4 linked regions of the Arabidopsis thaliana genome follow. The protein of the gene in region 4 interacts with the protein of the main gene of each other region in a pairwise test. Each region holds a gene or a part of one and is shown on either strand. Other genes may lie near its edges. The genes, in order: BNQ3, HEC1, BNQ2 and AT4G30180.

Evidence for each region.
Region 1: the proteins of AT4G30180 (region 4) and BNQ3 interact in a two-hybrid assay, tested with the Arabidopsis thaliana proteins (one large-scale study listed by BioGRID).
Region 2: the proteins of AT4G30180 (region 4) and HEC1 interact in a two-hybrid assay, tested with the Arabidopsis thaliana proteins (one large-scale study listed by BioGRID).
Region 3: the proteins of AT4G30180 (region 4) and BNQ2 interact in a two-hybrid assay, tested with the Arabidopsis thaliana proteins (one large-scale study listed by BioGRID).

What each region holds. Positions count from the first base shown.
Region 1 is NC_003074.8:17,588,601-17,592,185, reverse strand, and holds BNQ3 (BANQUO 3), read right to left. Parts: upstream 1,643-3,585; 5' UTR 1,458-1,642; coding exon 1,329-1,457; intron 881-1,328; coding exon 731-880; 3' UTR 516-730; downstream 1-515. UniProt on the Arabidopsis thaliana protein: Atypical and probable non DNA-binding bHLH transcription factor that integrates multiple signaling pathways to regulate cell elongation and plant development.
Region 2 is NC_003076.8:26,764,338-26,767,767, reverse strand, and holds HEC1 (basic helix-loop-helix (bHLH) DNA-binding superfamily protein), read right to left. Parts: upstream 1,687-3,430; 5' UTR 1,493-1,686; coding exon 767-1,492; 3' UTR 511-766; downstream 1-510. UniProt on the Arabidopsis thaliana protein: Required for the female reproductive tract development and fertility.
Region 3 is NC_003076.8:4,920,687-4,924,725, reverse strand, and holds BNQ2 (BANQUO 2), read left to right. Parts: upstream 1-1,913; 5' UTR 1,914-2,172; coding exon 2,173-2,301; intron 2,302-3,083; coding exon 3,084-3,239; 3' UTR 3,240-3,483; downstream 3,484-4,039.
Region 4 is NC_003075.7:14,767,083-14,770,271, reverse strand, and holds AT4G30180 (uncharacterized protein), read right to left. Parts: upstream 1,489-3,189; 5' UTR 1,245-1,488; coding exon 768-1,244; 3' UTR 501-767; downstream 1-500.

The sequences.
Region 1 (3,585 bases), on a different chromosome or scaffold from region 4:
TACTGAAAACTGAATATGCAGTAAATCTCTACGTGCGGGCGCTGGCTGTTTTCGGGAAAGTGGAAGGCCGGTCGTTTTTACGTAGTAAACTGCTCTTGTAATAGAAGTGGGTTAGAACTGGAATGACCAAATTACCCCTTGGTTCTATACTTCTATATATAGATATCAACGATTCAACGTTGCTGCTGATCGAGACGTTGAATGGTATTCTTGTTACCAGAAATGGAAACCGTGGGGGCTTATTAGCATATTTTATTCCTTCTTAAAATATACTTTATACCATTAAGCGAAATTAACGACTAATTTTGATCAGAAAATTTGACTTGCGTTAGTTTAGTTCCTATCGATATTAACTACAAAAACACCGTTATAATCGTATATGCATGACACTAGAAAACATTGTTCTTCTCGTAAATTCAAAATTTAATCAATGTTTTTGCTACTAAAATGTGATGGATTTGGTTGGAATGCCTAGAATCTAAGAAATACCTAAGCCCATATATTGAGTGTGTTGCCTTAAATAATGTGAACGTAAACCCAAACCATTTGCTTCGTTCAACAACTGACAAAAACAAAACCCTACATATATTAAAAATAAAACATTGCATAATTAACAGGGGACACAAGCTGCCAGACATTATAAATACAATAAGAAGGGGAATTAAAACTGAGAAGACATTTTTTCAAAAAAAAGAAAAGAAAAAAATATCCTTCGTTTATTGCACTAATTCTACTGCATAAGCAAACTTCGGATTAGTGCAGCTTGAGCTGAATCAGTTGATTCCAAAAGTTGAGACAATCTTTCACTAAGATCATCCACTTCTTTGCTCAAGTTCCTTATGTAACTGCATGTCTCTTGTAATACCCTTGATGCTGAAACCTGAAAGTAACCAATATATTGATAAGAAGAAGGATCTTATATATAATTAACAATTTAATTATCATGCATGCAGCATGCTATTTATTGTCGATTAGTTTGGAAATTAAAATTTAGCACTCGTCACAAAATGCATCACAATCAAATGAATCAATACATACATGCAATATTGGAATATATGGAATATTAGTTTAATATTTATTTATAATTCTAACTAAAGACTCTCGTTTGTTTGCAACAACAGAAAGATGAAAGAATTACTGTTAAACTTTGATGGAGGATATATATTAGTTATTATTTTTATTTTTTTTAAACCGGAGGTTTGTTCTTTTAAGTACCCACTACTAATCCAAGGAAGATTTAAAAAGGTTTAGAAAAGATTTAAGGTTTGAAAGAGGAAATTAAATTTTTTAAAAGGAATCATAATGAAAAATTGATTAGAACGTTGTACCTTTCCAGAGCGTCTGTTGTTAGCAAGTTCGGGGAGAAGCCGATGAAGCTGGAGGACAAGATCGTTGATTTGTTCATCCGTGATCATGGAAGCTCCAGTTTGTCTTGAACGTGATTTTCTGCTAGACATTATGTAATATATATGATATGGTAGAGTATAGCTAGAGATTTATAAATCTTAGGGTTCACTAATTAACTTTAATCAATATTTGTGAGTGCAAGTATTTTCTTTGTATGTTATTTATATTATAAGAGAAAAAAGAAGGAAGAATTGAATACAGAAGTGGAAGAGTCTACTGCAACTGCTTAAAATAAACATGAATGGTTTCAACTTGTGTTTATATAGAAGATTTTTCTCCGTTTTTGGCTCTACATGTGTATGCATGGAATAATATAATTGCAAAATTATATATGTTTTTTCTAGCATGTTTCCTAAAAACTGTAATATTTTTAAGTATAGTTAAATTAATTGGTGAATTACTAGATTAACACTCTGACTAGTAGTCTTTAACGAAAGGGAAAAAAAACACTCTGAATAGTATTATGCAAATCTCAATGGGTAAGAATTTATATTTTATCTAAAATTTATAGATATATTTGTGCAATAAAAAAACGCTTATCTTATTTGCAAGAACATCTTTGTTGTTAACGGTAGAAAATTTTCGTCTCGTTATGTTTTTAAACTTATATAGGAAAAACATTTCCATTTATCCAATTACAATTCATTATAAAATAGAAGATTAAAATTCATTTTAATTCCACATTATTTTTTTTGCTAATCCAGTTTTCATTTTTCTATATATGTTTCACTAGTAACCAACTTCAGAACAAGAGTGATCTTGTGCCATTTTAGTAAATCATTTAAAAGGTGATGTTTGATTATAGTTGGAGGATACCTTCTTTCATATTTTTTTTTGGCACGAATAGAGTATACTAAAACATTTTGGGTTTATAAGACAAAGAGAATATGTATGCATGTTTGTCATACTTATCGGCAAACTTGCATAAATTCTGGAATTGGTGATAATACAAACTTTGGTACTAGACTACAAATTATGATTAGTTTGTATGATATCTTAATTAATCCAAGAACTGTAAAATTAGGATTAACTCCTGGAAATGTTAATCAACTTCTATAGTTATATTGCAAGATTAATTTATTTATATAGTTACATACTTGATCTAGTACATATACTAATTTGAGCATGTACAGACAAACATAAATAATTAAGTTGATTTAGTTTTATTAGAGATGAAATTAAACAATTCTAATATCAGTCTTTTCCATTTTGAGTGTACCTTAGTTTGGTCTTTCTTCCATTTTTATTTGTATACCATGGGCATCAATCAGTTGATTAATATATTGCAAATTTGGAATAATCAATCAAGCGCTCGATTATTTATCCATTTAGATCTGACAATTTTATCACTATATCTCAAGAATTTCTAATCAATGGAAATGATTCCTATAAATAATTTTATAGTCTACAGACAGAAATTTGTCTAGGTATCAAACTATATGGTAACCCGTCTCTCTTCCCATCATGTAATATCTTTATATTTAGATAATAAATAACATTCGTTTTATTGAAGTAATTAATATTTTCTCCAAAAAATTCCATTAGTTAATTATGGTTACACCAACAATTGAGAAAAAATATATTTTTAATTTAATTCATTAAATAAATTGTAAACTAAAAGTTTGTTTTTTAATTAAGAAGTTAGAAGAGAAAATTGGACTTTGATTCCAAATTCCGAACACGTATTGTCTATTTTTAAATCGTTATTAGATTTAATCTAGTAATAGATTTTTTTTTCATATGTGGATTGTTTTACATTTTTTTATTATTTTATTTTACATTTTCATTTGATTTTATTTACAGTTTTAAGAAAATAAACGATTTCTTTTTTGTATTATTCAAAAAAATTGCTTTCTTTTTATGTTTACACCAGAATACTTAAGTTATGAATCTTTAGATCAAAAAACAAAATAAAAAATCACATGGACTCATGACTCATTAGTATATCATTACCCGATAAAATATGTTTAATCATTTGTGTAACAATTATTAAAATTGTTTTTTTTTTTTTTTGATAAGGTGAAACAATAAATAAAAGTTATACATGTACATTACATCCGTATATGAGTGTTCATAATTTTGGAAATAAATTAGAGACAATTCCTCTTTTGACAGATCAAAACAAGCACATCTTGCAAACTATGTGATTAAATTAAATTTTTTGGTCGTCTCAACTTG
Region 2 (3,430 bases), on a different chromosome or scaffold from region 4:
TCATCAAAACAGCCTTTGTGATAGCTAGGTTGTGTTTTTAAAAAGATTCGGATGGGTCCAGTTGTTTTTGGGTCCTGAATAATATAGCTGATAACATAAAAGACTACTAATTGTGTAAACAATGAGAAAAAGACCAATCCTGAGACTGTTACACAAAAGCAAAGGCCCAGTTGAATATTTAATAGCATCTTAATGAAATTATTCTATAGACCAAATTTCTTGTAAGATTTTGTTTTAAGTGAAAAATAATTTTTATTGTTTAATGCTTTGAAATTACTGATCATTTAATGAAGATGTTAATTTCTTCCTCAAATCCATCAGATTAGACATTAACAATTGAAAATAAATAATCGTGGACTTTTTGGTTAGTCATATTCTCAAATCTGTATACAAGTATAAGAGTATAAACTCAAATTTTGAAATTTTAATTTTTAATTTAAGAAAAAAGTATAGATATTTGCATGTTGAAAACAGCATTTAGTTTTTAGACAAATAAAAAATGAACACAAGCCTGATAGCTGAAAGCATAATACTGCTTTAATTATTTGATTAACAAGGATACAATGATAATAGTTCCTAATTTACAAACTCGCTCCAACAACCATGGAGAGTCTTTGGCTTTAAAAACCATCATTACACATTATCTAAACAAGAAAATAAAGTTAAATTAAAGACTCTCACATAAATTACTTGGCTTCCCTCTCCAGAATCATTTTTCTCTTTTTCTCCAACATTAATATAATAATAATAAAATTAAAAATCATCATCATCTAAGAATCTGTGCATTGCCCACCATCTGATGAGTCCCCACTGTTCCACACCCTTTCATAACCACTCCCCCGCCGCCACCACCACCACTCGCCGCCGTCATTCCACCTCCACCGATCAAAACCCTTCCTCCTCCTCCTCCCCCTCCGCCAGTAACCACCGCCTGCTCCTCCAGAGACTGCACCTGTTTCTTTAAAAACTTCACATAATGAATTGCTTCATCGAGCATCGAAGCTGTATCCATCTTCGTCCCACCAGGAACAAGCCGTTGCAAAATCCGAATCCTCTCGCTTATTCTCTCCCTTCTATGCCTAGCCGCCACGCTTTGAGGATCTTTAGAGATCCTGACGTTCCTCCTCTTCGGTGGCTTAACCGCCTCGGGATCGATATGGATCGGTTGCATCACGGCGATACGGAAGATCATCTCTCGCATAGCTGCCATGTTCGTGCCATTATTGTTGTTGTTACTGTTGTTTCTTTTGTCAAGAAAAACGGAAGAGTAAGCTGTGTTGGGAGAGATAGAAGAAGGGTTAGTGAGTAAACCGGAACCGTAGCGGAAACCTGGTTCGTTGGTCATTGAGTGATCGGACTGGTAATGAGTGGAGTTAAAGAGAAAAGGGTAAGTGTTGTTGTGGTCGGGAGAGAAGAAAGAGGAATTAGGGTTACAAAACTCAGGAAGCTTCTCCATCTGATGCATCATCATGTTCATTATGTCAGAATCCATAGAGAAAGATATGGAGAAGCTGATAAAATGGGTATGGAGAGAAACTGGTGAAAAGCTTACAAGTGAAATTTTAGGGTTTTTTCTTTTGGATGATTGATGATTGATGATGAGAGAAAGAGACGGTATGTGTGAGAGAAATGGCAATGGTACTACTGTGCCCAATCAGAACTCAAGCAATAGTATACAACAAGAAGTGGAAGGATTTATATAGCAACTTGTGGCCCATCCATCTTCTTTAACTTATGCTACACATATATAATAAAAAGGAATTTCTTCCCATTTTCAACTCTCACATTTATGGGCATATATGTATATATTCAATTTCAAAATTTGTCTTCTTGTCTAAGTGCAAATTCCACATGCATTCGGTCATTCGGACTAACTTACCAATGTAATATCATATATCAACTATTATAGGTTATTATATACCAAGGCAAGTAAAATATTGAGGTGGATTTTATTCCTCATATTTGAACTTGTATGATGATAAAATTCCCAAACATTAATGTTAGGAAAAATCATTTTTATAAAGCCATAATATTTTCGTTCGGTTGCGAATAGAAGCTATGAAAAAGTGTGTACACGTAGGAGTTACTATAAGTAGAATTATTGCGTAACATAACTTGGATCCAAAAAGAAAAACAAGTAAAAAAAGACTAAAAGAAGTAAGAAAAATGGTTCCATTAATGAGTATCGATGATGACCGTCGATAATTGACCAATGGTTTATTTTATCGCATTTATCGACCGTCCAGATCATGTTTGTTGTAAACACGTGGCTTACATCTATTGGTGTTCAGATCCACTAAAGGCAAAGAAGGCATAACGCGTTACGCGACAAAGCAAGGTTCATGAACCGGTCGTCTCACAAGCACAACAACGAGTATTCCATTTTTTCCACCATTATTATTGTATTCATTTCATAATCAACACTTTTGTATGTGAAAAAGGTCAATTAGGTTTCATATAATAGCTGGAGTAAAAGATTATCAACTGGTTTTGTTGCACTAATTAACGAAAGTGTTTTCTTCAATCCAAGAAAAACGGTTACTTAACCAAAATATTATAATAAGAGAGAGAGAGGACTATGATTTATAAGATTACCCCACATCCACATGAGATATGTCAGAATCCAGGGAGCAGTATTTTATTCTGTAAAATTTTCTGGTCAGATTTAAATTAACACAGACTCATAACGAGAACGGTTAATACATTAATACATGCGTGTGTGTGTGTATATATAACAAATGGTGGAGGAACAAACGTATATAGATAGATAAGAAATAAGTCAGGATGATTAATTGGATCTCAGTTGACATCAAGCCTTAGCGTATGGCACGCTTCTCAAAGCCGATCTGAGAACGACTTCATTCCTTTTTTATTTTATTTTACTGTTTTTTTGTTACTCACTATCTTAAATTTCGAATTATTCATTTTTGGAAGTTTTTATGTATTATTCTATATAGTAGATTTTATTAAACACTTTTGTTGCTTACCCCCACTGACTTTCCTTCTGGCGAAGGTGCTTTCAGTTTTTATGAAAATTCTCAACCTTTTTTTCTCTCTTGTAAATTGCTTTTTTAACCAAAGAATTTTATGTTGAAATCGAAAACTGAAGAATCATCATCTGCTGCATCTGACAACCCGATATCATTCCCAACAAAGTGGAGATTTTTTCATTCTTATAACTGATTTACAAATTGCTATACAAAAATAGTATGCATTAGTATCGTGTAAAAAAATAATAATAAATGATATAGTATCATTTAAGATGGATCTGATTCGTGATCAGATAATCGTTTGAATATTTAAATATAATGATGGAACATAACCTAAAAATGTACCGTAAACAAGAAGCAGCATCCTAATTAATTGAAAACAAATGACAATAAATGATTCTTACCTTAAAAATACACAAAATCCAAAAGACACCACAAGC
Region 3 (4,039 bases), on a different chromosome or scaffold from region 4:
TGAAAGATGCATTCTAATGTATCAATTTTGAACGGTGGTACTGGTACATCGACGACACTAGTATGAACAATTATGATATAAATTAAACTCACTGGTTTTTGCAAATGTTCTAACTATAAAAACATTTTTCTTTGAAAATTGTTATCTCACTACCGTAGTAAAACGATGGAGATAAGAAAAGCGAGAGGTCATGTGGGAGAGGGCGTGAAGGATGGGGATGCTCCCTGATTAGAGGGGGGAAAGAGTGTCCTATCATCACATGGGAGGTTAAACTGGTTCTTATTTATAACTTCAAAATATTAAAACATAAATAGTCCCACCTTTGTGTGCTCATCAGCAAACATTTTTCTTTAATGTCCAATTTATCACACCATCTCCTTGTTTTCTAATACATATCATACATCTACTAATCATCATTCATTCATATCTTTTGCATATATCATCATCTTCATCATCATCATCACGTGTTTAGATCTAGCAAATGGTTTGTTGTTATTTATGACCAAAACAACATTACCATGTAGTATTTATATAAATCCTAAATAAAAATTGAAACTCACTGATACAATTAAAATTAAAGTATTTGTACAAAATTACATATTGACGAATGTTAGTTGGAAATCACCTGTCTAAGTTTTTTAGAACAAGTGCTCAAAGATATTGGGTTCGACAATTGATGAAATTCCACTTAGGCATTACATATAAATAAATATCGTAAGCATATACACTATCAATTGAGGTACACGTGATCGAGCTTGGACTAAAAGTGTAAGACTAGCCCCTCCCTATTGGCTAGGATAGATACCGTACGTTCCCTCAAATTGACCTAAGTCCATTGTTTTTGTTTACCCGTATCTATATAACTGAACCACAAAATCTTCTTGGTTTTACGCATCACAACGATCATAAAATAATGATATACTCATATAGGTATATCTTGAGTATATAGACAAGCTTTACACTAGCTTGTATAATAAGATAAATAGAGTGGTGATATTTTAATGTTGCATTGTTTCAGTACTTGAAATCAGAATCGTTTCCCACTTGAAAAATTAGTTTCTCTTTGATCATAGCATATCTAACAAGACATATTAGTCGAGCTTTTGGATAGTTGTCGTTTGGTCTTAAAAAATAATGATACATTCTCACAAACTCTCACCGTACCTCAAGGCTCAAGCAAAGCTAGGACATGCTATTAAGGAACTGTAACTACTATAGCTGATTATCACAAAGTCTCACCTCAATATATATAAAGATTTTAATGACTAGAATAATTATAAGTTTTGAGATAAATTATCAATGTATCCAAGTGAAAGTATTGTTTGGTATTTTCTGTCAATCTAGATATTCATTTGCGAATTCCTAATTGACGAAAAATAACAGATATTATAATGTTACTAATTAACAAAAAATAAATCTTTGAAAAGATTTACATCATTGAAATACTACAATATTAAAAATATAATAGCATTATAATATCGACAATACTTATAATACTCATATAATAATATAATAAGAAGATTTTAAATGTACATAATACAAATTATTGCAAAAAGATTTCCAGTAATAGATACTAAGTTCTACTAAAGTTTTTGAAACTTTTTAGGAAAAGCAAGATTTTGTTGGAGACTTTGGATTAATGTAATTTTCAAAAGAGAAGAAGATGGTTTTTTTTTTTCTGAATATAAGAAAATAGAAGATATATATCTATCTTCGGTGTATTTATTGTTGATAAATATGCTGTCTTTTTTTAAAGTAAATAGATAAAAGTTAGACAGACTTTTTTTTTGTCTTATGTATCTTTTTCTCTAGTTTTTTATAAATCAACTTTAAATTAATCATCAAATAATAGTAATATTAGACACATATATACATCACGATCTGATAAATTTGTAAATTCACGTGTCATGTATCCAAGACTCCAATTCTAAACCACTGTTCTCTCTTGTGCACTTGTCATCGGCATATCCAACACCCCTATTTAAGATTATTTGTATTACTCTCGCTCTCTCTCTCTCTCTCTATCTAGAAGTGGTCCTAGCTCTCTATATAACACCATTTCTTCTCCTTCTTTCTTCTCCCTTTCTTTCGACAAGCACAAACAAAGCCATCAAGAGAAGAAAGCCTTTTCTTGGATTCACATATATATAAGAATATTTTTTCAAATCAAACATGTCTTCTAGCAGAAGGTCGAGACAAGCAAGCTCATCATCAAGAATTAGCGATGACCAGATCACTGATCTCATCTCAAAGCTCCGACAGTCCATTCCGGAGATTCGCCAGAACCGTCGTTCCAACACGGTAAATCTTTTCAAAAGTTACTGTGTTTCTTCTATGTACCAAGGTTTTGGCATAGTCACATAAGTTTTACTTTGATGATATTTATTTAGGGTTAGCTATTATGTTTAATAGAGAATCACGCATATACAAGTATACAACATGTTAGAATAGTGCATTATAGTCATAGAAGTACGTGTGGGAGACTGCATTTTGAAGTTTCTAAAATTACTTTTGACCATTAACCGGACTTTGAGGAGAGGGGAACATATTTTCCCTAACTTCAGCATTAAGCTTCTAGTTAATTTTACTTTTATTATTGATTAACTACATTGAATGTGAGACGACTATATTGCTTCACGGACCATCAATTCAATACATTTATGTACAGCACCGACTAATTTTTATATTTGGTTTTCTTAGTTTCTATATAACAAGAAAAGTACGAACTCTAGAAAAATAAGAAAAAGCTGGTTTCTATAAATGGAAGCATCGTTTTCTTATAGTACACACAACCAATCAGATTTGTTCTCAATTTCAAAACAATGTGTTGGTTAAGTTATGAGCATTTTTATTTTTTTGATAAAGTATGGGCATTTTATCTTAAGCTTTAGGTTTAACTTTTAACCTATGCATAGTGTAGTATGTCAAGCAACTAGCGTCAATATATTTTCTTACATTATTAACACGCATCATAACTTCAAGCTAAGACTTGTTTCTGTTGTTGTTAAAGCAAGCTAAGACTTGTTTGAATATTTATATTGAATCCTTACTATAAAATGTACAATTGTGAAAATTGTTTGTAGGTATCAGCGTCGAAAGTGTTACAAGAGACTTGCAACTACATAAGAAACTTGAACAAGGAAGCCGATGACCTCAGTGATCGATTGACTCAGCTTCTGGAATCCATTGATCCTAATAGCCCACAAGCCGCAGTTATTAGGAGCTTGATTAATGGATAATTAAGATATAAATTGATTAGTTGTGCTTTATATATATAAGCTTAAAATCTCGTTGGGAGGTTGATCCATCAGGGTGTTGCATAATTATATATCTATTTTATGTTTCTTATATATTATTTACAATCCTATCTAGTTAGGGTTCATATTTTGACCCTTTTTTGGTTTAACGTCATGCATGCAATTCCATTAAGCTTAAAAATTATAATAAATAAGATTTCGAGTAATTATTTAATTTAAATCCTTTTATATTATATTGTAAGTGTGTCCATTTGTATGTGTGTTAATGCGTTATACAAATGGATATACTATATAAGTATATATGGCACCCAAGAGGTTAATTAATTTCAAAGTTAATTTAGACTTATCTTCGAAATAGATAGAAAAGTTGATTAATACTATCATTTAAAGCGTACATGATTATCAATTTTGCATGAAAACGTAATAGGATGACTCAAACCTACCAGACTCACATAAAAAATAATATCTCAACCATTATACCACTATACATTGTTACAAATTACAAACTACAGAATGAAACAAAATCTATATTTATTAGCTTCTCACATATTAAAAAAAATAAAAAATCCAACAAATGTTTTTGAAAACAGACCCATCGTGCATTATATTTGATAATAAAGATAACATTTACACTAGTTTGCTATAAAATTTAGTATTTAATTACCTACAATAATTTTACATATATATATATATATATATCTGTATAAAATTCCCTAAAATATTTGAAGGTTTAGAAAACAGGTATATGAAGTTTAAACATGCGTATCATACAATCTAGTTAG
Region 4 (3,189 bases):
ATAGAGAGATTTGGATGCGTGCGAGTGACTGTGAGACACGTGCAAAGATATGGATGATGACTTCAAATCAATGTTATGACTTTCATAGTTTACACATATGTCATCCAACTTTCCTCCTTTTTAGATATTTACAATTTCGGCGTTTTGTTTTTCATATTCATCGAATTTTTTGGAAAGTAATTCTAGTCCAGTAGTCCTAATTTTTGTTTACATTTTAATGGTGCACCTGTAGTTACTGCAGCTGGAACATATTGGTGATCTCTACTAATGTGTAGCTTTTATTTAATTGAAGATTTGTTACATCTGATTTTTTGTAGTCGAAAGTTCATATGTTTTCGCTAAAGGAGAAAAAAAACTTGCAGGAATATAAATATATACACAAACACAAAGTTTGTCAGGTTAAAATGATTAGAATATTAAAGTTTGGAGATTTGCTCATAACATTAAAATAATAAATTCAGGAAAAAAAGACAACATAAGAGTTTTATTTTAGGCAGCACATCGTCTATTTGGCATTACAACCAATAATTTAAATTTCAATCAGATTTTGATCGAATTTTATAAGATGTACGTATAAACGGCCATGTGTGGTACTTTAGGTATTTCGGTAACCATGATTAATTAAGAAAAGGAAAAAAGAAAAACACTATAATACATGCTCTTGTTCTTAAAGAAATCAAGAGAAAAAAAAAAACACAGATGATTTTCGTTTAAAGACAACAAAAAAAACATGAAACAAACTATAAATTATACACTTAAACTAAAAGTCAAGTACTATCTTGAACAATGGACTTGAGAGCAATCGTCTGCAACTCAAGACATTTAATGTAGTTACCAATCTCACTCAACATTTCTTCCACATTCATCTCTTCCCCACCTGGCAAAAGCTTCTTCAATTCCCTCAGTCTCTCCTCTATCCCTCCTTCTTCGTTTCCGCCTTCTTTATCGGGTCTTTCAAGAATCCGAATTCCATCGGAAGAAGAACTAGTGGTAGTGGTTGGATTCGATGAGGACGATAGCTTCTGCAGCAAGAAACGGCTCCATGCAAATTCTTGAGCAGACAAAGCCAAAGCCATATCTACTTCATGCTTCACGGTTTGTTTTGAAGAGTTCTTGTTCATGTTGAGCTTCTTGAGTGCAGGAACCAAGTGGCTTGTGTATTTTCTCGTGAAAACTGCACTAGGGTTCTTGTTTGGTTCAAGAGAAAACACTCGTTTCTTCCTGTTTATGATTTGCCTCTCCATATGAGAAACTATTTTTGCTGCAAATGAAAGTCTACAAGGGAGAAAGTTACATATATAGCAAACTTAGAATATGAGAGAGACAAAGAAAGAGAAGAGCGGTGTCCTACGTTTGTTTGTATATAACAAGCGTTGATGATGTATAAAGTAAAGTTGTAGAACTTAATTTTCTTTGTATACATATATGAGGTAATATGTTTGGGAGTGTTATTATTTTTCGTTCACGTACAAAACACAAGACTATTTGAAAGTCGTAGTTAGTAGTTTTCTTTTTTAGACAAATATTTTAAAAACAACGGAATTTGAATATCATCAACTAATATATGTTTTTTTGTATAATACATTTATTTTTAGAAAATACACGAAAACAAAAAGAGAGTGTGTATATATATATATATATATATATATATACATAAATAAAGAGAGAAAAATAAGAAAAGAAGAATTTGGGAATAATAATGGGTGAGGGAAGAAAAAACACATGGAGTCACATGCAAGAGCTCTAATTTGGCTGCATCACAACTACCCCTAAAGAGGTGCTTTGAGAGACCCTTTTACCATGTGGCTCCATTCCAAGAACAAGACATCAATACAAAACCCCACCTTCTCTTAATGCTTTCACATGTTCCTTCCTCTTAACCTCTCTCTCTCTCACTCACTCACTCACACACTTTGTATATACATAATACATGTATGCATGTGTATGTGTCCTTGGACCAATCTCCTAATTAGTTTGATCAATCTATGTCATTTCTACCCATATTATCTTAATATAGATCTCCCTCATATTATATATACCATTTGACCTTCTTTTTTTTTATGCTGCATGTGTGATGAATTTGGGTTTCACTACCCACTACTTTTGCGATATTTGGATACAGATGGTAACTTGCTAAACAGAAATTTAGTTATTATTAGTGGTAGTTCAATTGGTGATCTGTACAACATATCAAGACAAACATCTTTGAAACTGAATTTTACTGCCACTGTAACTAATATGACGTAGATACAAGTTTCTTTACTACGCATATTAACATAAAGTTAAGATGCATGTGGTCAGTAATTGGGTTATTAATACGTTTTATTTGTCAAGGACTTTTAGTCGTGATTTTTTGATTCTAAGCATCATTGCATTCCAGGTTTAAAGATGACTTTAATTTTTCCTATAGGATTTGTAAATAGATAAATATAGTTTATGTTGACACAAAAGGTCACCTTTGATATGATATGAAAGTCTGGGTGTTACTCATTTGTTATTTTATTTTTATTTTTTAAAATATATACCGAATCATTTAGATATATATATATATATATATATATAATAATAATAATAATAATAATAACAATAAAATGTCCAAACAATATCTATAACTACTAAACATGGGCGGTTGAGACATTACAAGTTGTCTCTTAATCTTATAGTGTTTGATACATGCAATATACACGTTACTAGCTTTTGTTGTTAATAGCCAAAACTGAATGATCTCTTATTGGTTTTGTTGTGTTCTTTATCCTACCACACAAAAAAAGTCAAGGGTTAGTAGATTATCAATCAATGCAGCAAGGAAATTTTATTTCTCTTTTGTAAATAATCTTTTTTTTTGTTAGAATGTGATGTTTTCTCGTATTATATTTTAATGCAATCCCATAACCTTTGATTGAATGTGGAAAACATGTGTTAATGGTAACCCATCTAGATGAAATTAATTAATCTATAAACTTTACTAAATACAAGTAGATAAAAGTACATAAAGGTAGAGGAATTTTCTAGTTAAAAACAAACGAAATAATATATATATATATATTGGATATATATATATATATATATATAATCTAAGAGGAGAAAGAAATTGAGATGCAAACTAATAGATGTGGATACCAAAATAGATACTAGACATTCACACCTATAGTAGACATTGAACAATAATGCATATAATCATAAAAGTTT